Diceros bicornis minor: one gene and its partner. The protein of the gene in region 1 binds, or shares a complex with, the protein of each later gene. Links are inferred from orthologs where the notes say so. Each region holds a gene or a part of one and is shown in the gene's direction. Other genes may lie near its edges. The genes, in order: NPR1 and NPPA.

Evidence for each region.
Region 2: the proteins of NPR1 (region 1) and NPPA are in contact, whole or in part, in a crystal structure (PDB 7BRG), measured with the Rattus norvegicus proteins. The link is inferred for Diceros bicornis minor from reciprocal best matches to the Homo sapiens genes NPR1 and NPPA. Residues at the interface, in NP_036745.1 of Rattus norvegicus: Asp90, Val115, Tyr116, Ala119, Pro120, Arg123, Ala139, Leu140, Gly141, Ile142, Val144, Tyr148, Tyr182, Asp184, Leu186, Gly187, Asp188, Asp189, Arg190, Phe193, Phe194, Val196, Glu197, Tyr200, Met201, Arg204, His213, Gln214, Glu215, Phe216; in NP_036744.1 of Rattus norvegicus: Arg126, Ser127, Ser128, Cys129, Phe130, Gly131, Gly132, Arg133, Ile134, Asp135, Arg136, Ile137, Gly138, Ala139, Gln140, Ser141, Gly142, Leu143, Gly144, Cys145, Asn146, Ser147, Phe148, Arg149, Tyr150.

Annotation. Positions count from the first base shown.
Region 1 is NC_080743.1:57,901,190-57,916,772, forward strand, and holds the start of NPR1 (atrial natriuretic peptide receptor 1), read left to right. Parts: upstream 1-6,598; 5' UTR 6,599-6,908; coding exon 6,909-7,620; intron 7,621-8,364; coding exon 8,365-8,564; intron 8,565-8,994; coding exon 8,995-9,108; intron 9,109-9,524; coding exon 9,525-9,660; intron 9,661-10,021; coding exon 10,022-10,113; intron 10,114-10,874; coding exon 10,875-11,010; intron 11,011-11,238; coding exon 11,239-11,323; intron 11,324-12,145; coding exon 12,146-12,266; intron 12,267-12,639; coding exon 12,640-12,714; intron 12,715-12,870; coding exon 12,871-12,948; intron 12,949-13,394; coding exon 13,395-13,499; intron 13,500-13,758; coding exon 13,759-13,830; intron 13,831-13,944; coding exon 13,945-14,101; intron 14,102-14,382; coding exon 14,383-14,538; intron 14,539-14,807; coding exon 14,808-14,976; intron 14,977-15,583. Other genes in the region: ILF2 (interleukin enhancer-binding factor 2), read right to left, coding at 123-165, 379-438, 1,136-1,140. UniProt on the Homo sapiens protein: Receptor for the atrial natriuretic peptide NPPA/ANP and the brain natriuretic peptide NPPB/BNP which are potent vasoactive hormones playing a key role in cardiovascular homeostasis.
Region 2 is NC_080752.1:30,961,921-30,976,427, reverse strand, and holds NPPA (natriuretic peptides A), read left to right. Parts: upstream 1-8,235; 5' UTR 8,236-8,238; coding exon 8,239-8,361; intron 8,362-8,462; coding exon 8,463-8,789; intron 8,790-9,319; coding exon 9,320-9,331; downstream 9,332-14,507.

The DNA of each region.
Region 1 (15,583 bases):
TACTCCAGCCACTATTCAAGACTTCATTGACAGGGAGATGCTGGGCTCCAGGAAACTACAAGTGAAACAGTGTCCAGGCTCCATTTCTATGTCTATAGGTGAACAGGGGCCAAGATACTCACCAAATAGAAATCAAATGGGATATGTGGCACAAAGGGCCTGAACCTAAAACAAGAAAAATCCAAATTATTCACCACAGAAATCAAGTGACTTAGCCTAATGGGGCCAAACTCATTTAGCAGGAGAGGATGAAAAGAAACGTTTCTAAACCACAGCTGGATCTCACAAAAGCAGGTAGCATCAGTCCACTCCAAACTCCTATTTAGATGACTGAAGTGTAAATTAAGCAGTGCAGAGATGCTAAAAACTGACACTCACCCTCCTCCTGGGCCGCCTCTGGAACCAAAGCGACCACCACGACCTCGGCCTCTGTCACCCCTAGAAATGCATAAATAGATTTTAACCTGTTTTGACCTGTTGAAGGCATCTCCACCATACCGGTCAAATCACTTCAAGTTAGCCTGCCTCCACCGCTCCGAACTTCCCTTTGGAAGCCAAGAGACCCCATTCCCACCTACGCTTCTCCCCATTCCAAATGCTCAGCCTCACCCCCAGGACCTCCTCATTCTGGATAATTTAGTCACAACTCCACCCAAACATAATGACGGGCTCAAACACTGAACCCCTACAAGAAATACCCCATGACCCCTGGAAGACGCCAATCCTAATACCTGAGGCACTAAAGTGAGTGCTCATTTATTATTAACGTAGTAAAACATTTAGCGGGCATTTCCTATGTCAAGCACTTGGCATAGAATGAATGAGGCACGTTCCAGACTTCCCAGCCTAGATGGGGGTGCTTCTCCTGGGACCCGAGGACACCCCTCATCCAGACCCCTCCAAAACCGAGGGGCCGACCGCCTGCCCGCTCCTGCGCCCCACCCCCAGCCCGGGCCCAAGTTTCCCCGCCCCCGCAGCCTCCGACCTCCCCTACTCTCCCAGACGAGGCCTTTTCGGTGTTAGGGCAGCCCCCAGACACGTGGCCCTTTCAGCTCCTCCGACTCCTTTCGGCCCACCTTCCCAAAGTTTTCGGTCGAATACCCGACACCATTCTACAGCACCCCAGTGCCTTTACCTCATGGCGCCCTAAAACCCGAACAATGGAGGCCACACCAACCGCCCCTTTCCTCGGAGGAAGAGATAAATGGAGAGGCGGCTTGCCGGCGTGTCCCAACAAACTCCGGCGCGATTGGCTCCCGCCTTACCCCGCCGCTTATGCCTATTGGTCTACAATGGCAAACTGGCTTATGAACCAATACAAAATGCTGACTGTGTCAGGATCTAGCCAATAAGAACAGACTTAACAAAAATGAGCATTTTTATTCAACCAGACACTAGACGGCGCTGTGTAAAGAAGGCAGGACGGCTAACGCGCTAAAAACTTTCTATAGAAACCATGAGGCACCTTCTCTCCAGCTAGCAGAGTGGCGCAGCGGAAGCGTGCTGGGCCCATAACCCAGAGGTCGATGGATCGAAACCATCCTCTGCTACAGGCGTGTGCTTTTTCTTCTCAACTTAAATTTTCTCAGTAAAGGTAACTGCCCTCCTTTTACTTTTTCCTGCGTCAAAAATGCAGCGTTTAGAAGCTGTTTTTGCCATCAGCATGTGAAATAGGGGAATAGGAAGAGACTTTAAACAACAATAAACACTACGTCTGGGTGTAGTTCACAGAAGGCTAGAAACTCGAGGCAGGAGAAGCGGATTTGAGAAAAGGAGGAAGTATATTGATGGAATCAGAGGGGGAAAACACTGATGGCGACGGACTAGAAGGGAAACCGAGGCAGCCTTTAGAAAGAGAGCTCAGAAAACGAGAGCAAAAGAAGTGGCAAGGAAAGAAGGACGCGGCCCACCCATTATTGCCTGATTTCCCCCCAATTTCTCTTCTTTCCTCACTCCACAAACTCTCTGGCGTATTTTACCCTTATATGAGGTTTCACCAGCCACGTATACGGATATACTGTATTTGCATTTAAATCAATCATATTACTATGTGCTTTTCGTTTCTTCTGTAATCCTTCTTCTCCTTCTAGCCTTCTTTTGCATTGGTTAATATTTATTATTCCTTCCCTGCCTCTGTTAATTGGAAGTTACGCACTTTTTCTACTCTTCTAGAGGTTACTCTAAAAATTACAACATGCGTCCTTGACTTAGCAAAATCTAATTTTTGGTAACATTTTTACCCTCCTGGTGAAAATGCAGAAATAATTTAATTCCATTTACCACCGTCACTCCCTCCAGAATTATATACTATTGCTGTTGTGTAATTCTTTTAAGTGTTTTATTGATGTATAATTTACTACAGCAAAATGCACAGATTTTAAGTCTACAGCTCCATAAATTTTGAGTAATGTATTCTGTCCGTGTAACCACCACCCAGATTAAGATAAAGAACATTTTTATCACCTCAGAAACTTAGCTCATACCCCTTTGCCCTGCCCCCAAGGCAATCACTATTCTAGTTTCCATTATCATAGATTAGTTTTGTCTGTTCTTGAATGTCACACAAATGGACTCACACTGTATGTACTCTTTTTTATCTAGCTTCTTTTGCTTGACACGTTTCAAGATTCTCACATGTTCTTGCATTCATCAGCAATTTGTTCCTTTTTATTTATGAGTAGCATTCTATTGCATAAATATACCACAGTTTGTTTATCCATTCTCCTGTTGATGAACTCAGGACCTCCAACTGGCTGAGACACACAGAAAACATTTGGGTTGTTTCCAGTTTGGTGCCATTATGAATAAACCTGCTAGGAACAGTTTTGTACAAGATTCTTGTGGTGAGATGCACTCATTTCTCTTGGGTAGGCGTAGCTGTATACGTGTACAGAATTTAAATTCTGTAAATACTTTCAATCTCACAAGACATTAATGCTTATTACCTAAATTAGTGGTCATTTAGATTTACAATCTGTGTGTGTGTGTGTGTGTGTGTGTGTGTGAGGAAGATCAGCCCTGAGCTAACATCCATGCCAATCCTGCTCTTTTTGCTGAGGAAGACCAGCCCTGAGCTAACATCCGGCCCTTCTTCCTCTACTTTATATGGGACGCCTCCACAGCATGGCTCGACAAGCGTGCATCCCTGCGCACCAGGGATCCAAACCCAGCCGCCAGCAGCAGAGTGCGCACACTTAACCACTACCCCACGGGGCGGGCCCCCTACATTCACAATTTTTAATGTTCTTTATTTCTTCCTGCACGTCCAACCATTCATCTGGAATAATATTCCTTCTGCTTGAGAATTCGTGCCCCTCTGCTGGTGGCTAACTTTCTCCATTTCAGTTTGTCTGAATACCTCTTTATTTCACCTTTGTTTTTGAAGGACATTTTCTCCAGATATGGAATTCTAGATTGGAAGTTATTCTCTTTCAGCACGTTTACAATATTATTTCACTTTCTATGGCTTCCATTTTTGCTCTGAAAAAAAAAGTTCTCTAGCAATCTAATGGTTGCTCCTTTGAAGGTAATCAATCCTCTTTTTACTATTTTAAAGATTTCATCTTTGATTTAATTTCCTGTGATTTCACTCTGATGGGTCCAGATATGGATTTTTTTTAAAATCTTACTTGGTTTGTTGAACTTCCTGAATCTGTGGCTTGATGTATTTCATCTATTTTTAAAGTTTCTCAGTTATTGTCTCTTCAAATATTGCTTCTAGTCTTTTATTTTCCTCCTTCCTGGGCTCTAAATAAATGTGTGTCAGACTTTCTCACAGTATCCTCCATGACCCTAACCCTCTCTTTTATGTTTTTCACTCCTTTTTATTCATGTTTCATTCTGGGTAGTGTCTTCTGTCCTTTCTTCCAATTCATTACTTGCTCCTAAGTCAAGTCTAACTTGCTGTTAAACCCATCGATTGGTTCTTAATTTTGGTTTTGAATGTTTTGGGTCCTCATGTTCTATTTACTTCTGATTTACCCTACTCCTAGGTTTCTAGGAGTGCAGCCTTTCAGGATTCTAATGAAAAACAGGAAGGCAGTTTACCAGGTTTTCATCTTTTTTTTTTTTTTTTTGGTGAGGGAGATCAGCCCTGAGCTTACATCCATGCTAATCCTCCTCTTTTTGCTGAGGAAGACCAGCTCTGAGCTAACATCTATTGCCAATCTTCCTCCTTTTTTTCTTCCCCAAAGCCCCAGTAGTTAGTTGTATGTCATAGTTGCACATCCTTCTAGTTGCTGTATGTGGAATGTGGCCTCAGCATGGCCCGAGAAGCAGTGCTTCGGTGCGCGCCCAGACCATACCCGGACCACCAGTAGCGGAGCACGCGCGCCCAACCGCTAAGCCACGGGGCCGGCCCAAACCAGGTTCTCATCTTTGGGGAAGTTTGGATTCCAATTTTTGTCTCATTTGCACCACACAGCCTATTTTCTGCCACCAATTCGGATCAGCAAATGACCCCAGGGTAAAAGCAGTCCTACTGCTGTCTCATCTCTCTGCTTTCCTGTCCTTTCATGCTCTCACACCAATAATTTCTCAGTCTTATTAGTTCTTTGATTTTTTAAAGTATTTCATCCAACATTTTTAGATGTCTTCAGCTTGAGGATTGGACAAATTATTTAGTCCACCATTGTTGAAAGAGGAGCTCAACTACTAAATTCGATTTCTAGTCTAGTTTCTCCTGAGCTCCAACTCCACTAATCCAATGGCCTATTGGACACCTCCACTTGGGTATCTACAGGTGCCTCAAACCATCTAAACTAAAATTATCATCCCCCCAAAATTTGCTTCTTCAGCTTCTCAACCAATGGGTCAATGTCACCTAGACTTCAGTTACTTGTATACTGTCTCTCTTCCTGAAGTCCAAATGATTTTACTTCCAAAACATCTCCCTATAGTCAACAATACTGTACTATGCATTAAAAAATTTGTTGAGGGTAGATCCCATGTTAAGTGTTCTTAGCACACACACAACATATACACAAAAGGACACAAGGAAACTTCTGGGGGTGATGGATATATTTATTACCTTGATATTGTGGTGATGGTTTCATGGGTATAAGCATATATCCAAATTCATCAAATTGTAGACATTAAATATGTACAGTTTATGGTATATCAATTATACCTCAATAAAACTGTTTTTTAGTCTCCCAATCTCCTATATACATCTATAGCCTCTGGAGCCCCCCTTACAGGACAAAGACATTATGCCTGTCACACAAAAGCTTGCATGATCTGCCCTCTGCTGCACTTCCTTGCCTCTCCTCCTCAATCATTCCTACGTGCACACACCTGACATCCTAGATGGGAGTTGAAAACATAAACTACTGTAGCCAGTAATGCAAGTGAGTGAACAGGGTGGATAGGAACTGTGGTGAACTGGACTCATCTCAAGGAGATAATGGATACTTCCAGCTGATTGTACATGGAGAGATGCAGGAATTATACTGACTGTTTGTTGAACAGAAGTTGACTGATCTTCGTTCCGCTACGCGCAGGTTGGAGTTGGCCGCACAACACTGTCAATGATTCCCTCTGACCATTAGAGGGCAGACTGATTCCACAGGGGTCCGGCCCAGCGGACCAGCCGTCAAGTGCTCCAAAACCCTCTCCCCAATTTACGCCTCCGCTGGTCGTTTCCAACACCATCTCCCACCACCACCACAAACCGCATTTTAACAATCCTCCTCAACACAAAACAAACACACAATCACAATCCAGGAGTGGCCCTGAGGTCACTCCTCTTCCCCCCTACAGCCACCTACACGCTCTCCCTCCCACTTCCTACAAGCATTTGGAACTAAAGAGTTAATTCCGCCCTTACACCTGGTCCTTTTTCTCCGCTAATCCGCTCAATCTGGAAGCTGGAGTGGGGAGGGAGTGGGTCCTAGGTGGACTGGGTCACGGGGACTCCGGGCTCACCTACTTTAACGCCTTTTTCAGAAACCATTACCCTCCCGCCCCACCCCCAGACACACACATCCACACACTCACACTTTTTCCTGCCAGGATCCCAAACCAGCACATCTTTTTCTGTTCCCCAGACGGAACCAGGTAGGAGGGGAGAGACAAGGTGGGGCGCAAGAAGCCCCTGGATGCTCCCACACACATCGCTATCCAGCCCTTCTTCCCATCCCCGCGAGGGAGCCCCTCCTACGGGTGCCGCTTCTCCAGGGAGGAAGACGCTGGGCCGCCGAGAAGCGGGAAGACGGTTTATGGGGAAAGCGCGCGGGCTGGGGGGCGCGGGAATGCCCGCAATTTAGGTGCGGGGAGGAATGAGTTAAAGATCCAGGATTGGCTCCTCTGTCACTGAGTCTGGGAGGGGAAGCGGGCGGGAGGGAGGGTTCGGAGCTTGGCTCAGGTCCTCTCCAGTCCCCCCCGGACAGCTGGAGACTTGGGCCGGCCGGACGCCCCTTCTGGCACACTCCCTGGGGCAGGCGCTCACGCACGCACACAAACACTCACACTCCCCTTTCCCTCCATCGAGCCCTCTCCCATCCTTCTCCCCGAAGCGCTCGCTCGCGCTCTCTTTTTCTCTCCACTTCTGACACACGCACGCGCACACACACACACACACACACACACACACACACACGCTGTCGCTCACGCTAGGGTCCTCTCGGCTCCGGCGTTCTCCTTCTCGCGCCCACCTGCTCCGCAGTGCCCTCCGTGCACCCCTCCGTCGCGTGTCCAGCCTCGGGTACGCCCGCCCGCCGCGCGCCCCTTGCGCTCCTGGCCCTGACCTTCGCAGCTAGAAGGGCAGCGTGCACCGGGGTGAGCGCCCCCGCCCCGCTCCTCCTCCCTCCCACAGGGGCGCGCCCGATGCCCGGGACGGGCCGCTGAGCCGGAGGGGACCGAGGAGGCCATGGTGGGAGCCCTCGCCCGCCGCGGTGCCCGCTGAGGCCATGCAGCGCCCCGGGCGCCCCGCCGGCGCCCGCCTGAGGCTGTTCCTGCTCCTGCCACCGCTGCTGCTGCTCCCAGGCAGCCACGCGGGCAACCTGACGGTGGCCGTGGTGCTGCCGCTGGCCAACACCTCGTACCCGTGGTCGTGGGCGCGCGTGGGACCAGCGGTGGAGCTGGCGCTGGCCGGGGTGAAGGCGCGGCCCGACTTGCTGCCCGGCTGGACAGTCCGCACGGTGCTGGGCAGCAGCGAGAACGCACTGGGCGTCTGCTCCGACACCGCCGCGCCCCTGGCCGCGGTGGACCTCAAGTGGGAGCACAACCCCGCGGTGTTCCTGGGCCCCGGCTGCGTGTACGCCGCTGCCCCAGTGGGGCGCTTCACCGCGCACTGGCGGGTGCCGCTGCTGACTGCCGGCGCCCCGGCGCTGGGCTTCGGGGCCAAGGACGAGTACGCGCTGACCACCCGCGCGGGGCCCAGCCACGCCAAACTGGGCGACTTCGTGGCGGCGCTGCACCGACGGCTGGGCTGGGAGCGCCAGGCGCTCGTGCTCTACGCCTACCGGCCGGGCGATGACCAGCCCTGCTTCTTCGTAGTGGAGGGACTGTACATGCGGGTCCGCGACCGCCTCAACATCACGGTGGACCACCTGGAGTTCGCCGAGGGCGACCACGACCACTACACCATGCTGCTGCGGACCGTGCGGCGCAAAGGCCGAGGTAAGAGGCCGGCACCCGGGCTCCCGCCGCTCTGCCCCGGGGCCTTCTCTGTAACCCATCAGAGGCTCCGGACCGTCCTCTGTCTTCTCTTTCTTCTCCCGGCCAGTCTTCTTTCGCCTCGAGGCACCTCATTCCGGTCTCAGCCTCCTCCGCCCTTTCTGCCTCGGAGTTTCCATTTCCTTCTCCTTCTCCATCCTCCGTCCCTTCTCCTTCCTACGCGCTCCTCTCTTCTCACCTGCCCCACTCCCTCACCTCCTTCCCACCGGTTCCTCCGGAGTTAACAGGAGGGAGAAAATGCTTGCTGCCATCCCGACACTTACTAGGTCCCTGGCTTAGTTCCCATCCCTATTTTTCTCCCCCATTTTCTGTCGCTTCCCAACAGCCTTCTCCTCTCCTCTATCTTCTCCTCCCATTGCTCCCACACGCCCTCTACTCTTCCAGTCCCCTCTTCAGCTGGCCCCTCCTTCCCTCTCCTCCCCTCCTGACCCCACCTTGCCCACCTTCAGCTCCACTATTCCCACTCTCCCTATCTCTGCTCCTTCCCCCTCCTCCTCCCACTCTTCGTATTTCTCCAGCCACAGCCTAGACTGAGCCTGAGTTCCAGGTAACTACCACAGGGTCTCTGAACTGCCCCACCCCCACCCCCCCACCCTGGGCGCCCCAGCTGCCCTACCCAAGGAGTGCCCCCTTCTCACTCCCCCAGGACCTAGGCTTCTCTCTCTCTGACCCCCGCTTCCTCCCCAGTGATCTACATCTGCAGTTCCCCAGATGCCTTCAGAACCCTGATGCTCCTGGCCCTGGAAGCTGGCCTGAGTGGGGAGGACTACGTTTTCTTCCACCTGGACCTCTTTGGGCAAAGCCTGCAAGGTGCACATGGCCTTGCTCTGCGCAGGCCCTGGGAGAGAGGGGATGGGCAGGATGTCAGTGCCTACCAGGCCTTTCAGGTGAGTGTCCAGGTTGGAAACCTAGGCTGTGGGACTCTGAGCTGGTGGCACATACTTTCTGGGCACTGGGTCCCTCAGTGTCTGAAAGGATTCCAGAAAAGAGGTTCTTGATGCTCACAGAAAGTTAGATAATGCAGGGCAGGGTCTGGGGCCAGGGCCCAGAGGGCCAGAGGACTTCAGAGCCAGGAGGCTAAAAAGATGAGAGAATGGGCTTGAGGTGGGAGGGTGTTCAAGTCCCGCAGACTAACGGGACTTGGAGAAGCCATCCCATTGATCCCCTGCTTTGGTGCAGGCAGCACCTCACACAGGACATAGGGTCCAGTTTGACCTTGAGCTAAGCAGAGATGCAGCTCTGGGAGGTGGGCCCCAGGGTACTGGGAGGACTGGGGTCAGCCCCCAGCTCTCCCTTCTCCACTGACCCCTTCCTCAGGCTGCCAAAATCATTACATATAAAGAGCCAGATAATCCTGAGTACTTGGAATTCCTGCAGAAGCTAAAACACTTGGTCCACGAGCAGTTCAACTTCACCCTGGAGGATGGTCTGGTAGGAGGGAGTCCTGGGACCCTCCAGTGTGGACCTTTAGCCCCCACCCCATGGCCCTCTACCAGTTTCCACCCCGTTCTCTCAGCCAGCCCAGTATTCCCAGGTCTCACCTTTCCTGTCCCACTGTTCCTATATCTCCCCTGATGATGGAGGGGGACACTGACAAATTGTTCAACCTCTGAAACTCACATCCTCTTCAGTAAAGTGAGGATGATATGTCCTGCCCTAGCTGCCTAGCAGGATTCAGAAGCAGTGGTATATGCGGAGGCATCGTATAAGTAGTAAAATCTCTCTGTCCTGTGGGGTGTTTTCTCCCATCCTCTCCAAGCTCCCAGTGCCTCCCATTTCCTCCCCCACAGCACCCCACTCTGTGCCCTTCATACCAGCCCCCGGCCAAGCTCTGCTTGCCCCTGCAGGTGAACACCATCCCAGCGTCCTTCCACGATGGGCTCCTCCTCTATGTCCAGGCAGTGACAGAGACTCTGGCTCACGGGGGAACTGTCACCGATGGGGAAGGCATCACTCAGAGGATGTGGAACAGAAGCTTCCAAGGTCAGGTCCTGGAGGTGGAAGGAATGGGCTGCCTTGGGGTGCCCCAAGCAGGAGGCCATGAGAAGCTTCTAGCCCTGCAGCACGGGTAGTTGCCAGGCTCTTCCTCTCTTCTGTAAGGAACCCCTACATTTTCCCTTAGGTCCTCCTTCCCCGTCTTTCTCCATAGTTCTATCAAGGAGTCCTCCTAAGTGCCTAACCCCAATCATTGCTGTTGCTGAAATGTCTGTCCCTTTACTATTATTCCACATGCATATGTTTGGAGGGCAAGGCAGAGAAGATCCAGGAGGGAGATGAGGTGGTGGTGGGGGGTCCCTGAACTTTCACTCTCTCAAAACACAGTTGTCTTCCTCCATGCCCCCAGGTGTGATGGGATACCTGAAAATGGACAGCAATGGAGATCGAGAGACCGACTTCTCCCTCTGGGATATGGATCCTGAGACTGGCGCCTTCAGGGTAAGGTCGCGCCCCCAGAAGACAGTGCCAACTGGGAATGACATCTTGCCCTCCTACCTCCCCAACAGCCCTGCCAGGGCATCTGTCTACTCTGTAGTCACCTTACCATGCTTGGTCACTTTCAGAAAGCCCTAGATAAAAGAGACCCAGCTCCAGTCTGGGGGAGCAACCAGAATTACAAGGACTCACAGGCATTACCCTTGGGGAACCCCATGTCTGAGGAGGGAGCACAGCCCTGCCCTCAGCAAGTCCCACATCTTCTAAGTAGGCAGGACCCCTGCCCAGCAGAGACAGGCCAACTCAGGGCCAAGATGAATACACATCATACAGCTCTATAAGTACATCAGGAACAGGAAGGGATTGAGGCCACAGGCGCCAAGGAGCAGATCATCCAGGGAAGGCTTCTTGGAGGAGGGGTACATGGATTAGGCCTGGGAATGTGGACTGAGGAGACTGCCTTTTCCTGTTTTCTATGTACTTCAACCCAAGATTACAAACTCCCTGTGTGTAGGGCTGGGGTTCTATATGGAGTTTTCTTTATAAAACCCCTGAGTAGTTTCCAAGTCTTTCCACTCTGATAATGTGGGCATGGGTATGAGGGCTCTCTGTACCCACTCACAGAGGGGCTTGTAAATAGCTGACAGCCCAGATATAGGCCCTGGAAGAAGAGATGGGGTAGGTGGGAGGCAGGACTGCCCCACTGGACAGGCAGTGGGCCTCACCCCATGCCTTGCCTGCCCACCACTCCTGCCCTTCCATAGGTTGTTCTGAACTACAATGGGACTTCCCAAGAGCTGGTGGCCGTGTCAGGGCGCAAACTGAACTGGCCCCTCGGGTACCCACCTCCTGACATCCCCAAATGCGGCTTTGACAATGAGGACCCAGCCTGCAACCAAGGTGACTGCCCCTTGCCATCCAGGCCTCCATTCTGGAGATGCTACATCCTCCCACCTCAGGGAGTCAGACAGGTGCTCCTCTCCCACACAAGAGTTTTCTGGAGGGACTCCTCCTGCCTTTCTCTTCCCTTCGTCCATCATCCTAGTTCACTGATTGACTATTAGAAGGTTCTTCCTCCTGCTGTCTAACCAAAATCTCTCTTGCTACAACTTGGACTCTCTCCTGCAGACCACTTTTCCACCCTGGAGGTGCTGGCTTTGGTGGGCAGCCTCTCCCTGCTCAGCATTCTGATCGTCTCCTTTTTCATATACAGGTGAGCCTTGGGATGAGGATGGTGAGTGAGGTTGGCAGACCAGGAGAACCAATAGCAGAGGAGGTGGCAGGGACCCAGAGGGAAGGAGAAAGGGGTGAAGGTGCAGCAGAAGGCTGAGGGAGATGGGGGAGAAAAGAGACTAAAAAGCCTTAGGACACAAGGAAGAGAGAAGGAGGAGGGAACAAGGACAGGAGTGGACAGAGAGGGTGTGGGGGATCCCAGAAGGAGCCAAGCAGTTGGGGGAGTGACATCACAGGGGCGCGGATTCTGGCCTGCGGGCCCTTTACCCTCCCTCCTACCGGTGCAGACCGGATGGGAAGCAGTGATTCAAACCCTTTGGGATTGGGCACATATTAGTGGAGCAGGGATGGTGAGCCCTGAGTGTACCAGGTGGAACCAGGAACGGAGGAGAGAGATAAAGGAGCCCCCCTCCAGTGGGAGGCTGAAAGGAAAGTGCAGGAGAAGTTACAATAGAGGGAGGCAAGAAGGGAGGGAGAAAAACTATGTGCACTTCACACACGATATTTCTTTTCATTCTCACAACAATGCTTTGAAATAAATATCAAGGTCCCCGATTTCCAAATGAGGACATTTGGACTTTAGGACATGAGACTCAGAGAAATGAACTGACTACCCCAAGGTCCCCAGTGAGGCAAAATTTGATCCAAGCCTCCTGACTCTCAGCCCAGAGGACGCAATTCCCCATCTACCTCTTAGCATAAGCAGTGGTCCCAGTGTTCTGAGAAGGGGCTATGGAGCAGAGCACCCCTGCTCTGAGTCGGGGGCTCAGACATGGGCTCAGATGCAGGTTTCATGCCCCAGGAAGATGCAGCTGGAAAAGGAACTGGCCTCAGAGCTGTGGCGGGTGCGCTGGGAAGATGTGCAGCCCAGTAGCCTTGAGAGGCACCTCCGGAGTGCAGGCAGCCGGCTGACCTTGAGTGGGGTAAGAACACTGGTGTTGAGGGGAATGGGGGAGAGCTGGGCATGGGGGTGGGGACCAGTACCTGATGGGTAGGGGAGAGAGCCACCTTCACTGGCTGTGTGACCTTGGTAGACCTCTGAGACTCCCTCAGATAATGATTACATCCGCTGAGCCTCCTCACAGGGCTCTTCCAAAGGTCAAAAATACTATATGTGAAAATGCATTAAAAAAAAAAAAGGTAAATGAGGACAGGATTTCATGATAGAATGAGAAGCAGAGTGACACAAAGATAAGGCAGGGAAGTGAAGACCAGAGCTCAAGCAACCAGGATGGAGACCTAGGCCCATGGTGGGGCCCACAGGCTGACCATCTCTCCTGCTCTCCATCCCTTCAGAGAGGCTCCAATTATGGCTCCCTGCTAACCACAGAAGGCCAGTTCCAAGTCTTTGCCAAGACAGCGTATTATAAGGTGGGCCTGGGAAAAGACGGCTGGTCCTCGGCACTGGGGCCGGGCTCTGCTCTGACGAGGATGGGGAGGGTCACAGGGGCGGGGGTGGGCTGTCAGGAGCAGTTGGAGTTCCCAGAGCACCAGGCCATCTCCTCACAGTCTCCATTCCTTGCCCAGGGCAACCTTGTGGCTGTGAAACGCGTGAACCGTAAACGTATTGAGCTGACACGAAAAGTCCTATTTGAACTGAAGCATGTAATGTCGGGGAGGAGGCAGTGGCCTGGGGAAGGGTGGCAGGGGGACAAGGGGAGGTTGGCCAACAGAACTGGTTATGGGGGGACCTCAGGGTATCCTAGGAAAGAGCGGGGATGGTAGCCATGGGATGGGTCCTTGCGTATTGTGGGTAGGAGCAGGGGATCATAGATGGGGGAAGGGACTAGCGGAGATCCTGGAGGAAGTTCTCGAGGGGCCATACTTGATGCCCCTGGTGGTGGAGAGCTTAGGAGACAGAGGGAGTAGGGAGCAGATTCTGGGGGAAGGTGCGCTAAGGACATGGGTGGGAATCACCAGGGAATGTCCTGGAATGTCTATAGAGAATGAATAGGGAGTTAAGAAGAGTGGGGGAGGGTCCCTGAGGAGGGGGGCAACTTGGTGAGGAGTGAGGGCTCTGTCAGGCTCCTGATGTTGGCTTCCATCTGCAGATGCGGGATGTGCAGAACGAACACCTGACCAGGTTTGTGGGTGCCTGCACCGACCCCCCCAACATCTGTATCCTCACAGAGTACTGTCCCCGTGGGAGCCTGCAGGTGAGGGGACAAGAAGTTGTCAGGAAATCTGGGTCTAACCCTGGCTCTGCTCCTGACTGGCCATATGACCCCAGGGAAGCCTCTCCCCCTTTCTGACCTTTTTTTGCCCCATCTGTAAAATGGGAGTGGGGGGAGGGCAGTGGCACTGGAGAAAATCCAGAGCTTTGTCCTGTTGTGCACTTTCTGTCAGTAGGACCCCTGCACTAGTCCTCCTGGGGAAGTCTGCAGGGTACAGGTCTGACTCTTACTGCCCCAGCAGGACATTCTGGAGAATGAGAGCATCACCCTAGACTGGATGTTCCGGTACTCTCTCACCAATGACATCGTCAAGGTAGGCCCAGAGAGCCCAGTGGATGTGGCGGGGAGGGGCCAGACATGCTTCTCCTCCTGCCTTGGCTGTAGGTCCCACCCAGAGCCAAGACCCCTGCCTCCCCAAATTTCCCAGGGTATGCTGTTCCTACACAATGGAGCCATTTGCTCCCATGGGAACCTCAAGTCATCCAACTGCGTGGTAGACGGGCGCTTTGTGCTCAAGATCACCGACTACGGGCTGGAGAGCTTCAGGGACCTGGAGACTGAGCAAGGACACACCCTCTATGCCAGTGAGCCCAGACCCGACTCTGACCCCTAACACCGGCCCCAGCACAGCCCAGTAGGGAGACTGATGCCTGGCCTCTGATGGGCTTGGACACACCTGACTCTTGGCTCAGTTCATTCATCAGTAGAAAAGGGAGCCAGACCAAGTGATCTCAAGGCCTCTTTTAGCTCTAGCACTTGCGTGATGTCTCCAGATCACTCCCAGCCACATCCTCTAGGACCTTGTTTCCCCTCACCCCTTACTTTGCGGCTCTTCACCCTGTGACTCCTGACCTCTGACGCGCAGAAAAATTATGGACAGCCCCTGAGCTCCTGAGAATGGCCTCGCCCCCTGCCCAGGGCTCCCAGGCTGGTGACGTGTACAGCTTTGGGATCATCCTTCAGGAGATTGCCCTGAGGAGTGGCGTCTTCCATGTGGAAGGTTTGAACCTCAGCCCCAAAGGTGAGAGGACCATGCTGTCCCCTAGCCCCGCCACATTCAACTAACCCCAGCCCCAGAGAGAGGGACCCCTAGAAACACCACCACACCTTCCTTCTGGAATGCTCAGCCACCATCCTTTGCTCTACTGCTGCCAGTGACCATGACGCATGACTGGCCCAGGTTCCTGCGGGGCTCCCCTGCCCCATGCCCTGGTCCTGGACTTCCCCACCCACCCCCCAACAGGCCCATGGCTGCCCCCACCCCACAGCCCCTCTCCCCTCATCACACAGAGATCATCGAGCGTGTGACTCGGGGTGAGCAGCCCCCCTTCCGGCCCTCCCTGGCCCTGCAGAGTCACCTGGAGGAACTGGGGCAGCTGATGCAGAGGTGCTGGGCTGAGGACCCGCAGGAGCGGCCACCCTTCCAGCAGATCCGCCTGATGCTGCGCAAGTTTAACAGGTCGCTGGCGTTAGTTGAGGATCCCCCCAGCCTCCCCTGTCCCCCACAGCCACCACATACTCCACACTTAAGTCTTATCCCTGCAGTGGCAGAGGGAGCCCCCTCACAGCCCCCTTACTTAGCCTACTTCAGCCCACCACAGCCTCACAGCCCCCAGTCCTACCTCTCATACCCCTCTCCTCCACCAACTTCGCCACTCCACATCCTTCCTGCTCAGCCCCCGGACCAGCCTCTCATCTTCAGTGGTGTGTAGAGTAAATGAGCCACGCGCCCCTGGCCTCCCACCTCCTCCCCTATGGCCCCCATTCCCTCTGCAGGGGCTCAACCCCAGCCATTTGATCTCCCTTTCTCAGGGTCCCCACTGGGGCCCAGTTCCTCCAGACACACCTCTGCCAGCCTGTGTGCTCTCACTCTGTTCTCAATTGATCCCTGTCCCTTTCACCTCCTCAACCTCCTTCTAACTCACTGTGTTCAGCAAAGATGAACAAAACAGCCGGTACGTCTGAAGCTTCATACTTGACCCTGGGGTCTCAGAGATGAATTGAACTTTCCTCCCTCCCTTTTCCCCTGCCACCCCATCCTGCTGTGCCTCCCAACCCTGACCCTC
Region 2 (14,507 bases), on another chromosome or scaffold:
CCATCATTAAAAAAAACAAAAACAAAAAACCTAAACCCTGTGTTTTCTTGAAGGTCCCAAAGGTGTCTTAATGGCGAACGGACATGGCCTCAAGGGCTGGTCAAGTGGCGGGTGGGGGGGGCTTTCTTTTCTTTAAGGGTTTTTCATGCTCTGAAATGTCTATAAGTACCTCAAGCACTTGAGACACTTTGCAGAAGCTGCTTTTCAAAGCCTGGCAGCTTCTCCCTGGGATTGGAGTGGGCCCTGAGGTACTCATGCAACGTGAGGGTGCGAGGGTGTGTGTCGGTGTTTGTCCCTCTGGTCTTCCCTCTGCCTGGAATTCTGCCCTTAAGGACATTCTCTCTGGTGATTGTTGTTTCCAGAAGGTCTAAGCTAAAATCTCAGAGGTTGGGACAGTGTGTGTGTGTGTGTGTGTGTGTGTGTGTGTTACACTCTGGCTCATGTGCATTCCTGAATGGGGATGAGCCCTCCATCCCGCCCTAAACCTCAGCTTCAAGCCATCAATTTCTGATGTCATCCTGGAAAAGAGCCTTTGAAACTCCGAGTTTAATAGCATTTTCATTTCCTGAGCCCACGAGTTTAGAAGTGTCTGACAAAAGGCCCAGCATTTGAGGGTGCCCCTCCCTGGGGCCCCACATCTCCACCTCCTCTCTGCCCCTCATTCTAAGGCAGAAAAGGAGACAACCACCAGAATCCTGCTGTGTTGCCTTGATCAGCAGGGAGTCCTGGCAGAGGTCACTGCCCGCTCCTCTATGGGCCCCCCTCCCCTCACAACAACGCTATGAAGTAAGAACTCTTATTACCTCCCATTTTCCAGATGGGGAAACCGAGGCACAGAGAGGAGATGTAACTTGCTCAGGGTCACGCAGTTAGTAAGTAGCAGAGTCAGGATTCAAGCCCACACAGCCTGGCTGCAGCACCCAGGCCCCTAACTACTACACCACCTGGCCTCTCTCAAGTCGGTAAATTAGGCTTGCTGGTGGGATGGAAGATTCCCCTCCTAAGGGCATCACTCAGTTCAACATTTGGTGCCACTGTCTGTTGGCAACGTTTCTCCTCTGCTCGGGTGATGAAGACAGACCCCTTTCAGAACGCCCACTCCCCCAATCCAGCCAGGACTTCAGAATTCCTACAGGTGAGCCTGGCTCAGCCATGAACAGGGCTCAGGTGGGGGAGTCTGTACATTTGATACATCCTGTTACTTGGGCCTTTTCCCCAAGCAAATGTCCAGGGAAGAGAACCCCAGAGTGAACTGCAAAGGAACCAGATGTGACTGCTGGAGGATGGGGAGTGGGTGGCCTGATGGACCCAATGGAATGACATCTCACTGACCTCCCCCTGTGTTTGGTGTTTGTGGCAGCATGGCAGCAGGTGCACTGTCTATGGATGCCCTTTAAAACCAGCCCTCTGTGACCTGTGACCCTGGCCCCTTCAAACACTCCCCACACAGCTGTAGCCACGGCCTTAACCTCCCCGACTTCCCTATGGTCAACCTCATCCCAAAACAAAGCTGCCAGATTATATATCTCTGTGGATACTCGTCACTGTAATCTTCCCAGAAGGACACGTGAGTGAACACAGACCCCGGAGGTCTGGCCACGGCTGCAGAGCTGGGAGGAATTTCAGGAGAGGGTGGGCTGCCTTTGCTCGGTCTCAAGTGTTGAGGTTACAGAAGTCAGGACAGCGCTGGGCCTGAATGCTTCATCTCCTGTCACCGATTCTGCACCTGGGACATTCCCACGGAATGCTGAGCCCCTCTCCCTCCCTCTTGCGGCAGCTTTGACCCTTCTGAGGATGATTTGTGGCAAGAAAAAAAATTCATTTCTCTTGCCACAGAGGCAGGTGTAAACAAAATCATGAACTTGGTCATTTGTTCATATTGTAGTTCTCAGCCTTCTATCCCAATCTCTCCAGGATTTTTTTTTCTTTTTCTTTTTTTGGTGAGGAAGATTGTCTCTGAGCTAACATCTGTGCCAGTCTGCCTCTATTTTGTATGTGGGTTGCCGCCACAACATGGCTTGATGAGCCGTGCGTAGGTCCACGTCCGAGATCTGAACCCGTGAACCCTGGGCTGCCGAAGCAGAGCACGCGAAGTTAACCACTACGCCACTGGGCCAGCCCCTACTGTCTCTGTGGGATTTTTTCTATTCTTTTTTTTTTGTGAGGAAGATCGGCCCTCAGCTAACATCTGCCAATCCTCCTCTTTTTGCTGAGGAAGACTGGCCTTGGGCTAACATCCATGCCCACCTTCCTCTACTTTATATGGGACTCCTGCCACAACATGGCTTGACAAGTGGTGTGTCGGTGCACCCCTGGGATCTGAACCGGCAAACCCCGGGCCGCCACAGCGGAGCGCGAGCGCTTAACTGCTTGCACCACCGGGCCAGCCCCTCTGTGGGATTTTTATGCACTGCCTTAGTTTTAATAATCAGTGCTATTCCACTAAGTAACTTGTGTTTCCCGTGGGGTCAGGAGACAGCCCCATACAGCTGCCTGGATGTCCTGGAGCATTTCTAAAACCAAACTCGGTACCTGCCCTGGGACACTTGCTCCCACTCTCGTGCCCCAAGCTCTCCTGTCTCTGGCACTGCCGAGCACAGCCCCTGCCCTCGCCGCTTCAGGGCACGCCAGCTCTACTTCCATCCAGCAGCACCGCACTTTCCTGTCCAAGGACTCTCTCTGGCAGCTGGAGCCCACTTGGCTCCCCTTGGGGCAGGCAGGAAGTGCTGGGGAACTGGCGTCAACCAGGAGGAGCACTCAACCAACATCTAGCAGGAATCGGCATTTAAAGACCCCAGCACCCTCGATTCACAGGTGGCGTGCCTCTTACACTGGTTCCCAGAGTTCTCTGTGGGGGGCCGGGGGAGATTAAGCTCCAGTTGTCCGTGGTGGTCACTGACTTCCTTCTTTCCCTGGTCACTTTCTCACTCTCCTGCCAATGTTTCCTGGGATTGTCTCCAAAACAAGCTGCCTTGTACTTGAATCCTCGTCTCAGCTTCAGGAGAACCCAAACAAAGACACGCCCAAAGGATTAAACCTTCCCCCAGGGCCCCACCCTCGATGATTAGAGTGCTTGGAATCTTCTTGGACTCGGTTCTCTGGCTGGACCACCCAGGCTGGCACCGTATCCACTCCTCCTTCCTTCCCAGCACCTGCTGCACACAATCCTTCACTTCCATTCCTGGCTTCGAGCCTCACCACTCATGCCGACATTGACGCACTGGCTTCCTAACTGGCCTCTCCCCACCGGGCTCCCTGGTCTGGCTCTTTCTGCACCAGGGAGGGCAAGGTGCAGGGCGGACACTCACGTATGTGTAGTGGTGGGGTGGTGGGAGAGGCACTGACGGCAAACTCATTGATTCAATCATTCGGAAAATATTTTCCAAAGAATCAGTATGTGCCAGCTCTGTGCTAGGTGCTGGGGTATGCTGGGGTGCCTCATACCTGCTTGGCCTGCACCTCTGGCTTCCTGGAAAATGCGGCCTTAACAATGGCTGACCTGGTTCTCATGGCTGCTATCTGGCCCCGTCTCCACCTCCATATACCACCCCCCACCCCTGACTCTCCCCCTCCCCTCGCCAAGCAGGATCGACTGGCCAGGAGAGATTGCGAAGCCAATGCACGGGTTTCATGGGTGCACTGGACAGCAGTCTCCAGTTTCCTCGGCCACTGCCTGAAGGAACTGGGTAGCACAGCCCAGAAGTGCAGGGGAGCTCACGGCCCTGGTAGGAGTGGGGTGAGGGTGAAAGCGACGCTTTGACTAGTGAGAGACAAGCGGTGAAAAGGAGCCTACAGATGCAGCGCTTGTTACAAGTTCAGTTATGTTCCCCTAAAAGACGTGTTGAAGTCCTAAACATCCAGAGCCTCAGAATGTGACCTTATTTGGAAACAGGGTCATTATAGATGTGATTATTTAAGATGAGGTCATCCCGGAGTAGAGTTAGCCCCTAATCCAATATGACTGGTGTCCTTATAAGAAGAGGAGAAAGAAACACAGAGTGGAAAGACAGCCAGGTGACGACAGAGGCAGAGGTTGGAGTGATGCCTCTGCCAGTCGGGGGATGCCAAGGACCGCCGGCGGCTACCGGAAGCTGGAGGAGGCAAGCGAGGATTCTCCCTCACAGATTTCAGAGGGAGCATGGCCTTGTGACACCTTGATTTCAGACTTCCAGCCTCCAGAACTGTGAAACGATACATCTCTGTTGTTTTAAGCCCTCCAGTTTGTGGTACTTTGTTACAGCATCCCTAGAGATCTAAGGCAGTTCCCTCATCTTTTTCTCTCCTCACAGGCTGTTCCAGGGTGCCAGGTTCCAGGAAGCTCTCTGGAGATGTGCAGCGTGACCAACCAACCACTAAGGTGTTTTTGCAAAGCTGTGGCCGGCTTGGTAACGTATCACTTTGTATCAGCTCTCCTCTTTCCCCACCTGTGGTGGGCAGCCTCTCAGATGGCCCCTGATAATCCCCATCTCCTGGTATTCATGCCCTTGGGTAATCTCCACCCTCTGGGTGTGGGCTGGATCCAGTGACTCACTTCTAATGAACACAGTACAACAAAAATGAGGGGATACCACTTCCAAGATGAGGCTCCAAAGAGACTGTGGTTTACATAATCTCTCTCTCTCTCTCTACCTAAAGGAAGTCAGTTGCATCTCTATGGAGAGGCCCTTGTGGAAAGGAACTGACATCTCCAGCCAACAGTCAGCGAGGACCCAAGGCTTGTCAACGGACACAGGAGTGAGCTTGAAAGCAGATCCCCCAGCTAAGCCTTGAGATGACCGCAGCCCCAGACAACACCTGAATGGCAGCCTCTGAGAGCCCTGAGCAAGGGGCACCCGGCCAAGCAGGGCCAGATTCCTGGTCACAGAAACTACTAGATAATAGATGTGTGTTGTTTTAAGTTGCTGAGGTTTGGGGCAACTTGTTATGCAGCAATAGTTAACTAATACACTATCTCACTTCCTTTTTCCATCACTCTTGCTTCCCTTGAACTGGAGCCCCCATAAAGCTTTAGCAACTTGACTTTTCCTCAGGCTTTTTTTCTAGGGAACCAGCCCCTGACTTCCAGTCCAGTGATCTCCATATTGTACCAAAGAAACACAACATCATTTTCAAAGTCAGAAACAACAGTCCCTAAGTACACACCAGTGTCCTACCAGTTTCTCCCAACTGGGGCTTCTGCTTTAGACCATCTGGGTGTGACAGATTGTGCCATGAACATGGTGAGCTTTTCACACCAGTTCTGCACATGTGCAACATTGCTGGGACCTTGTGGTTCCCCAAAGCAGCCCCCAGCATCCCCATGGAGGGTTGTGAAACCAAAGTGGGCTAGAAACTGGAGACACCCCAGTTCTGGATTCATCCACCCATCTGCAACGCTCATTCCATCACACGACTAAGATGACTTCTTCCCAGCGATACGGAAAGAAAGGCTTTTGGTTTTTCATCTGGTGGGAGAGGTGGGGGTGGGGGCGGATCTGGCTTCCTGCGTCTTTTGCTTTTCTTCTCTCTCACTCCTACAGGCTGGCTTCTAAACACCCCTTTAAATATTAACTCCTCCACACACACACCCCAAAGTTGAGCAGGGGCTTGGAAATGAAGAGAAACTTTACATCAAGCCATTTTCCATTTCAGGCTCAAATCAAAGGCTTTACTGGGATTTGGGGTAACAAGTGTATTTGGGGGTTGTCTGTGTTTTCACTGGGTCCAGTTAGTGCAGGAGGTGGTGCTGGTTCTTCACAAAGTCCTCAGCAGCAAACCTGAATGTTCTTTTTTCTTGTCACCGCCCTTCTGCAAAACAAAAAACGGAAAACGAAAAAAACCCCAGCTAATAGAAGAAACTCAACAAATGACACTCACGGCCCACTCCGGTTTCACTCTAGAAGAGGAAAAGTGACTTTAATAAAAGGAGGTGGGCAAATTCTGAAAGTCCCTTTCTGGAACCTGGGGCGGGACTTCCGCTTCTCCTCAGGCCACCTACAGACTTCAGAAGTAGCTCAGGACAGAGGAGCAGCATCGGCCCTCAGAGGCCAAGCCAAGGCAGGGGCCACCCGCCACGATACCCTTCTGGAAGTCTTCGCCTGCATCAAAGGCCAGTCTCAAAGGGCATCTCCAGGAGACAGGCTGTGTGACGCAAGCAGCAAGGAGCATCGGTTCCCCGCAGCGTGGCTGCTCACTGAATCCTCTTTGCTAATAATAACCCTGCCAACCGAGCAATTAAGCTGTGAGCACATTCCAGGGATTCGTCAGGATACGATGGTTTTTTGCCCCGGGAGCGCTACCCAGAATTGCACCCACCTTGGATTTCAAGTTGAGTTTGGCTGACCCAAATCAGTGACTGAAGAGGGCTTCTTTCTCCTTCTTAGAATAAAATTGCCCTGGACACCTCTTGTGACCTCTGGCCACGTTCTGCCCTGGTTTCCTGCCCTCTTGCCGTATAACAGCCTTTCCACCTGATCAGCCAGGGAGTCAGCTCAGCTAGGGAGGGGTCTGGCAGGGGCGGAGATGGATGTTCCACACGCACACAGACCTGCCAAGTACACGAAGTTGCAGCCCCGAGGCAGGGGGCAGGAGAAGGAGCTGCTCAGAGTCACCCTGAGAGACTGGGAATGGGGGTGTGTTCAATCAGGGACTGCCAGAGGGCTTGTTAAGAGACCATCGCGCTACGCAGCAGCAGTGTCTGTGAAATGGGTGAGGACTGTGTGTATTGGTGTCATACCTGGGTGCAAGTCCTGGTTCTGCCGCTTATGAGCTGAGTGACCTTGGGTAAGTGACAAAGCTCTCAGTCTCAGTCCTGTCCCTCTGTAAATGGCAACAAGACCACCAGCTCCTGGGGGTGGTGACAAAAATGAAGTAACCACATGAAGCTCTCAGCTCAGTGTCTGGCACGTCACAGCTGACCAATACAGGCAAGCGCGATTACCATCTCGCAGTTACACAGCACTTCACACTTCAAAATGCATCCACACATTACTTCTGAGCCTCAGGATAACCTTAGGTTTTTTCACTTTCCTCATTTTACAGATGAGGAAAATAAGGCCCAAAGACATATGCAGCTTGGTTTGTTTTGGGCTACAATGCAGGTCTCTCATCCCTTCAAATTTAGTGTTTTCCCCCAGCATACGCTCTGTTGAGTAGCATGCTAGGGTTGAGTATGTGCTTAGCGAATGGAGGCCACTCATTAAATGTGGCCTCACTGCCTGTTATTTCTCTTTTGGGGGCCAGGAAAATGGAGGCGTTAAGGGAAACTGTGTTACATTCGCCTCCCACCTCACTCCATCAGCCAACTGGCCATGGGAGCTTTCCAGGAAAGGGCAGGGGAATTACAAGCTTCATACTCAAAGAGTCTGAGTTTCTATAAGCAGCAAGTTGAAGAAACGAAAATGCTGCATCCTCTCAGTGTCTACCTCCCTCAGCACCTTGGAGGGGGGTCGTGGAGGGGTCGAAGGAGGAGGAGCTTTGCAGAGGAATGATTGTGTTCCCAAAACTTTCCTTGGTGTTGAAATTTGGGAGCCAAATTCCTGGGTCATTCATCACATTTGGTTCCCGGCTGACTTAGTACTCTAAAACATAACGCCCTCTTCACCTGACTGCGGAGAGTGACTGCCAGAAGGCCAGCCCTGGTGGAGCGAGAGGGCTGCCCTCGCCGCTGATGAGTCAGGTGTGAGGCCGGCTAGAGCATCTGGACTAATTTGTCCCGAGCTGCCGGCTGCCTGCCATTTCCTCTTCTCCCGCCCTTATTTGGAGGCCCTGACAGCTGAGCCACAAACCAACCGGGGGAGCTGGGTGCCCGCCAACTGTCACCCTCTGCTTCCCGGCATGAGTCCCGTTGCCGAGGAGAAAGGAGCCCGAGGCATCGCTGTGAGATAACCAAGGACTCTTTTTTGCTCTTCTCACACCTTTGAAGTGGGAACCTCTTGAGGCAAATCAACAAGAATGTGGCTCTTGCAGCCGAGGGTCCCGGGGGTTGTTGGGGCTGCTCAAGGCGGAGGGGCTGTGACAAGCTCCGCTGGACTGATAACTTTAAAAGGGCATCTTCTGCTGGCTCCTCACTCAGCTGCTTTATCGCTGCAAGTGACAGAATGGGGAGGGTTCCATCCCTCTTGCGTTCTCGGAGAGCCGGGGGCCTATAAAAAGAGGAGGCGCAGGGCAGCTGGGAGACAGAGACGGACGAAGGCCGAGAGAGGGAAACCAGGGAGGAGAGGGAAGAGGCGGCGAGCACCAGACCACTCTGTGACCAGCATGGGCTCCTTCCCCACCATCACCACAAGCTTCCTTCTCTTCCTGGCATTTCAGCTCCCGGGGCAAACCAGAGCTAACCCCGTGTATGGCTCTGTGTCCAACGCAGACCTGATGGATTTCAAGGTAGGGCTGGGAAAGAGGGCACACTCTGGGACCAGGGGGCTCTGTGACATTGTGCCCGTGGGTGAGACCTCTCCCTTTCCCTGTGTTTTCCTTTTGTAAAGAATTTGCTGGACCGTTTGGAGGACAAGATGCCCTTAGAAGATGAGGTCATGCCCCCACAAGTACTAAGTGAGCAGAGTGAGGAAGGTGGGGCTGCTCTCAGCCCCCTTGCTGAGGTGCCTCCCTGGACCGGGGAGGTCAACCCAGCCCAGAGAGATGGGGGTGCCCTCGGGCGGGGCCCCTGGGACTCCTCTGATAGATCTGCCCTCCTGAAAAGCAAGCTGAGGGCACTGCTCGCTGCCCCTCGGAGCCTGCGGAGGTCCAGCTGCTTCGGGGGCAGGATGGACAGGATTGGAGCCCAGAGTGGACTGGGCTGCAACAGCTTCCGGGTAAGAGGAGCCGGGGATGGAAATGGGATGGGGAGGAAGGAAGTTAGGAAGTTGTGGTTTTGTTGAGGCTCAAACCTTGTCAAAGTATACCACCAGGGGACGCCTTCTGCCGGAAGGGACCAGCATAGAAGCTTACTCCCTTTGAAATTTCTGCGCCAACTTGGTGGGTGCCCCATGAATCTTGGGACAATGACATCATCCTCAGCTACAGGCTGCTGAGGAAATGCTAAGAAAAAAAGTTATGCCACGAGCACTGGGCACTTTAAATGTTCATGGGGCAAGTTGCCTTCGCACTGCTGATTGGCAGTTCATGTTCCTCTCCAGATTCCAAATTTGTCAGATCCCAAAGGATTGAAATTGACCAGGGATGACCTTTGAGCTCCTAATGAGCAACTTGTGTACCAGTTCATGAAACTCAGGGAGTTTTCAGGCTGGAGTGGGGTCTATGGGAAGTGACCACAGTCCTACGAAGTTGATGTTTCCAGTAGAGCCAGGTCACCAAGTCAAACATGTCTGTGTTCTCTTTGTAGTACCGAAGATAACGGCCAGGGAGGACAAGGCGGGCCAGGCCCCGGGCAGACTGCGAGAGACCCTCATCCCCCGGGGTCTCTCACTCAACTTTGTCTCATCTCATTGCCCTCAAGCTGAGTTGTGACGAGCACCCTATTCAAGCTGCAGCCTTCTGTCCACATTTCTCACATTTTATGCTAAATGTAGGTAAAGTGGCTTAATTGTGGCTTCCCCACTTCTCCCACCCTATGCATTAAATTTTAGGGCAGACCCTCACCCGTTAACTGGAAGCCATTTGAGAAATGAATAAACTTCAGCACCACGGACAGAAGCCGAAGGCTCGGGTTGGAGTGATTTGTTTCGCTTCCCGGGAAAGAGAATTCAGCATGATTTTCATTTTACCTTTTGTCCCAGAGAAGAATGTTCAGTTTCTTTCTTCCTCCTTCTTAAAAACAATAAAATTTATTTTTTGGAGAAGCTTTAGGTTCATAGCAAAATTAAGCAGAAAGTACATAGATTTCTCATATACTCCCTGCCCCCAACACATGCCCAACCTCCCCCACTATCAACATCCCCACTAGATGGCACATTTGTTACAGTCTATGAACCTGCATTGACACATCGTCATCACCCAAAGTCCATACCTCACATAGGGGTTCACTCTTGGTGCTGTACATTCTGTGGGCTTGGACAGATTCTTCCTCCTCTCATTCTTTCCTCCTTTTTTTGCGGGGGTGGGATGGGGTGGGGCTCACACTGCAGTTCTCTGCCTGCTCTGACTCTCGCTCCAGCTTCATCACAGATCCTGAAAAAGCCCCAGGAGACCAAAAGGGCACTTATTTTTATTCAGATTTGCTCACATTCAAGGCACTTATTTATTAAAAAGAAAACTTACAGACATCTTTTTTTTTTTCTGGTTATATCTAATGTAGCTTGTACTCAATAGACAATTTTTGCACAGCTAGTACTTTTGGCTACAGTTTTTATTTTTATTTTTAGAAGCAACTTTTAAAATGAGGACACTAAAAATTTTCTGACACATTTTGAGAGAGTTAGCTGCTGCAACAGAGCGACCTGCACTTTACTTTTAAGAAGATGAGGCAGAGCATTAAAGCTGAGCAAAGTGAAGACAGAAATGTTTGCTATGCTGACAGACTGCAAGTTTATGTGCCTTTGGGGCACTAACATATGTTTAAAAAAGAGCCATCAGCTTTTTCTAATTCAGGTCCAAGCTTCCTGACTTGTAGATTTTACTGCTGTGAGAGCCACTGGAGGAGACTCGGTCTCTTTCTACCATCTTCTGAGAAGGGTGCTGCCCTAAGCAGAAAACACCGGGCACTGAGTTCACCCACAACAGGGAGCAGTACTCTGACCTGTCTTCCCACCCCACACACCTCACTCTCCCCATCAGCCTCTGTGGTGCTCCTCCACCAGCCCCCCACCCACCAGCTCACTTTTCCATGTCTTTATGTTGTTCCTTCCACCTAGAATGTCCTTTAGCCAGTGCTACCCAGAACATTCTTATTCCTCAAGGTTCATTGAGAATGCCACTTCTTCCCTGAAGCCTTCCCTGATACCTCGTGCCCAGTGCATATTAAGCTCTTTACCAGCAGCATTCTGTATGTTACTATTAAGACACAATTTGCCTTGGTATGCAGTTGTGTTTGTGTCCCTAGATTGCAAGCTCCTTGAGGGAAAATGCCCCTTCAGCACGTGGCACAGTTGATGCTCTATATATTGTCAGTCAAATTGTCTTGGTCTCGTACAAAACTTGGAAAAAGTGGTAGTAACATAGCAGTTTGCTCCTTGCAGAGGGAAGTGGAGGCCAGAAGTGACTTGATGGTTGGGGAGCAGACGTGGGCAAAGACTCTAATCTAACCACGCCAGTGAACGTGTTCCTATGTGGATGCGGAACACAGAAGGGTGGAAAATCAAGAACCAGAGAGGGGCTAACCAGGACATGGGTGGAGGGACAAGAAGAAGTGCCTGTCCCAACCTGGCTCCTGAGGCCCGGCACTGGGCGAGTGGCCGTTGCTAGAAGGGGAAGAGCGGTCAGCTGTGTCACCGTCACAGAGTGGGTCCTCACTGAATGGCATCAACTGAGAGTGCCAAATACACAGAAAATGCCCCTGGAACTTGGGGACGACTTGGGGTCAGGGGGAGGGGCCTGAACCCCACCGATGGAAGCCAGCCCCCCGTCTGAACGTCCACAGACTCAGCACCGGTTTCACTTCTTCCAGTTGGATATGAGGGGACTCTGCTGATGGGGCAAATTCCTAAACAACACACTGCCAGGCATACAAATGGATTCTCCCTCTAGTGCTGCAGATGGGAAGCAGCAGCTGGAAGGACCAGGTAGGTTTTTATAGGAGCAAAGGATCAGTAAAGATCTAACTGTTAATCTCAAGGGAGAAAGACAAGAGTGGTAACCTTGTGCCTTTTGCTCAGATCCACAGCACTACACTGATTCTCATTACAAAGGTAGTAAGTGGGCCCCTGTGAAGGAGAAGTCCTGCTGGGAGAGCTGTAAAAGGAGAGATCTGAGACTATAAAACCACTTTCTGGATTTGCAATTTTTACATATTAGAAACAGAGGGAACAAAATAAACACCAAGCACCACTCTAAAGAAAGAGCACCGTGGAGACAAGAGACTCAAGAAGACAGATGAGGACATTTTATTCTGACATGTTATGGTTACAATGAGAACTTCCAAGTTCCAAAAGTTCAAATAAAAATAGAATTTTACAAATTAAAAAAAATACAATTTATATACACAGTGGAATTAGCTAACATTACTGTATAAACAAACAGTGCAAAGGGAAAAAAGGAAGCTGCTACTGTTGAAACGACTGAGGTCCACGGAGCTGTGGGGCAACACTGCACATCAATACTGCAGGCCCATGAGAGCGCTTCCCACCTCCCCGGGGCTCTCGTCTCCGAGGGCCGCGTCAGTGCGCAATTTTGCATCAGAAATGTTGTATGGTCAGCTGGGTTCAAGCAAGCAAGAGTCCATTCCAGCAAAACCGTTAGCTAAACAAGGTCAGGAGCACACCACCCCCCGGGGCGCAAAGGCCCTGCAGTCTGGAGGGACTCTCGCCCCACCTCTGGTCACCCTTGCTGGGGAACACAAACCACCCAGCTGGAGACGAAACACAGAGAGCCGCCTCTAGCCCACCCCGACCCCCTCCGTGGGTTTTTGTTTATTGAGGTGCCGTATCACTGGGAGGTGATGGGGCCGGTAATAGGCAAGATGGTGAACATTTGGGTTTCTACCTATCAGAAATCAGAGGAGCGAGGCTTACGGTTATTCTGTTACAACGGGAGCAGTGGCTGTCCTCGGGCTTCTCCAGAAACGGCAGATGCCAACAGAGGACAGGAAACAACGCGCCTTTCCAGGGGGCCTGGGTTTGGGTCATCCTTGGTGGCCATCCAGTCAGGTCAGGTGGAGGGAAGCATTTGCATTCTACCATCTGTCTCTGAGCTACACCGATGGGAACAAAATATCTGTTGACTTAAACTCAACAAGCACGAGGGGTGAATTCCAATGACATTCACCCGGGAGGCCTCGAGGGCCCTGGAGGCCAGAGGTCCTCCTGCAGAACTTGAGTTCTGCCAATTTCAGTGAGGGTGGGGAGAGGGGATTCAACTTCTGTGACCGGCAGTCACTCCATTGTCCTGACTTGGGCAATTGGTTTCCTTCTTAGAAAAAGGAAGAATTTGTGTAGCCAAGCTCTGAATGCTGCCTTAAAATAAAGCGGCAGCTGGCTGAAGGCAATCACATTCAGGAAGGCTTGCCTTGTTGGTCCTCGTGATTTCCTGAACTATTTATTGGGAGTTTCATCCACATTTCACAAGTCAAGCGCATCCAGGGAAGCTGAAACATTTAGAAGTCAAAGTACTTTTGGTCAAAAAGAGAAGACAATGGGAAGAATGGAGGGGCCACAGTCAGTTGGGAAAGATGCTGACGCAGCCCTCACTTAAGAGGAACAGAGTGCTGAGCACAAGACGGAAGCTGGCGAAGCCGGGACTGACCGCCCCCCCAGGCTGAAAGGCAGTCTTGGCAAGCGAAGTCAGTGGGGGCTGAGGGGGGAAGAAGAGGGCTGCCAGGGCCAGGCAGAGACACCCTCAGGCGACTTCCATGATTAAAAAACCCACTAAACGCAAATGAAGGCCATCTTGAGTCCCAAAGCACATCTGCCCCAGGGCTGGCCGACGGGCCTAAGGTGCTGATAAAGCAGAGAGCACAGAAGTAAAGGGAAAGTCAGGGCCCGTGCCTGACGCCCGAATGTTCGCTGGGTGCTGTTCAGAGAGGACCAACCAGCCTGGGAGAAACTAAGTCACTGAAAGACAGAGGGAGGCCTCCTAGGTTTAATGCTGAAACCTCAGGGCAGGTGCTGGCAGGCGCCCCTCCCCACCCCAGCCCCTGGCAGCAGAGCAGACCCTGCTGAAGTTTCCATTTCTGAGCCCTCAGCAGGCTGGGGACGGCTGGCAGCAGGTGACTGAGAGACCTTTGTGAAGGCCAGACGCCTCTTCCTTGAATAACCCTCTGCTTTACTGTGACACTGCTTCTCAGGCCACATTACGTACCTGTGAGTGGTCACCGCTCAGGACTCACTCCTTTCTACCTTATCAATAGCTGCACCGTTCCCCAGAGCTAAGCGAAGCAGTGTTATCTGGCGGTGCCCTGTTTGCAGTTAACTTGGGCAGGGGGCGGGGATGGACACTGAGACCCTCTGGGCTGTGGCAGCTTCACCAGGAAGACGAGGTAAGAACTTAAGGAAAGTTTAGTCATTCATAGAGATGAAAAGGACCAGGGATGGATCACGGTACAAATGTGTCACTAGGAGACCATGAATAATTTGGGAAACGGAGAGAAAGCTGAATGTTAAAAGTGAAAGCAGATGCAAATCTGACCCTACTGTCAGACTTATCGTTCACAGATTATTAGTGGAATTTTAATGCTTTGTGCTTCTGGAGGGTGGTGATTCTAAGGAGATTCAAACCCCAGGGGCAAGAGCAGAGCGCTAGCTCACACCCAGGAAGCAGAACATTCTCGAAAATGAACTGTTGAAGATGACGAGTTAAGACCCAACGATGGAAGGCCTCCCTGAAACATGGACCATTTCCTCAGTGCCCAATTCCTAAATTTAGTGATTCACTTATTTTTGCAACTGGTCTCCCCACAGTGTTTGCCTTGCCAAAGTCCC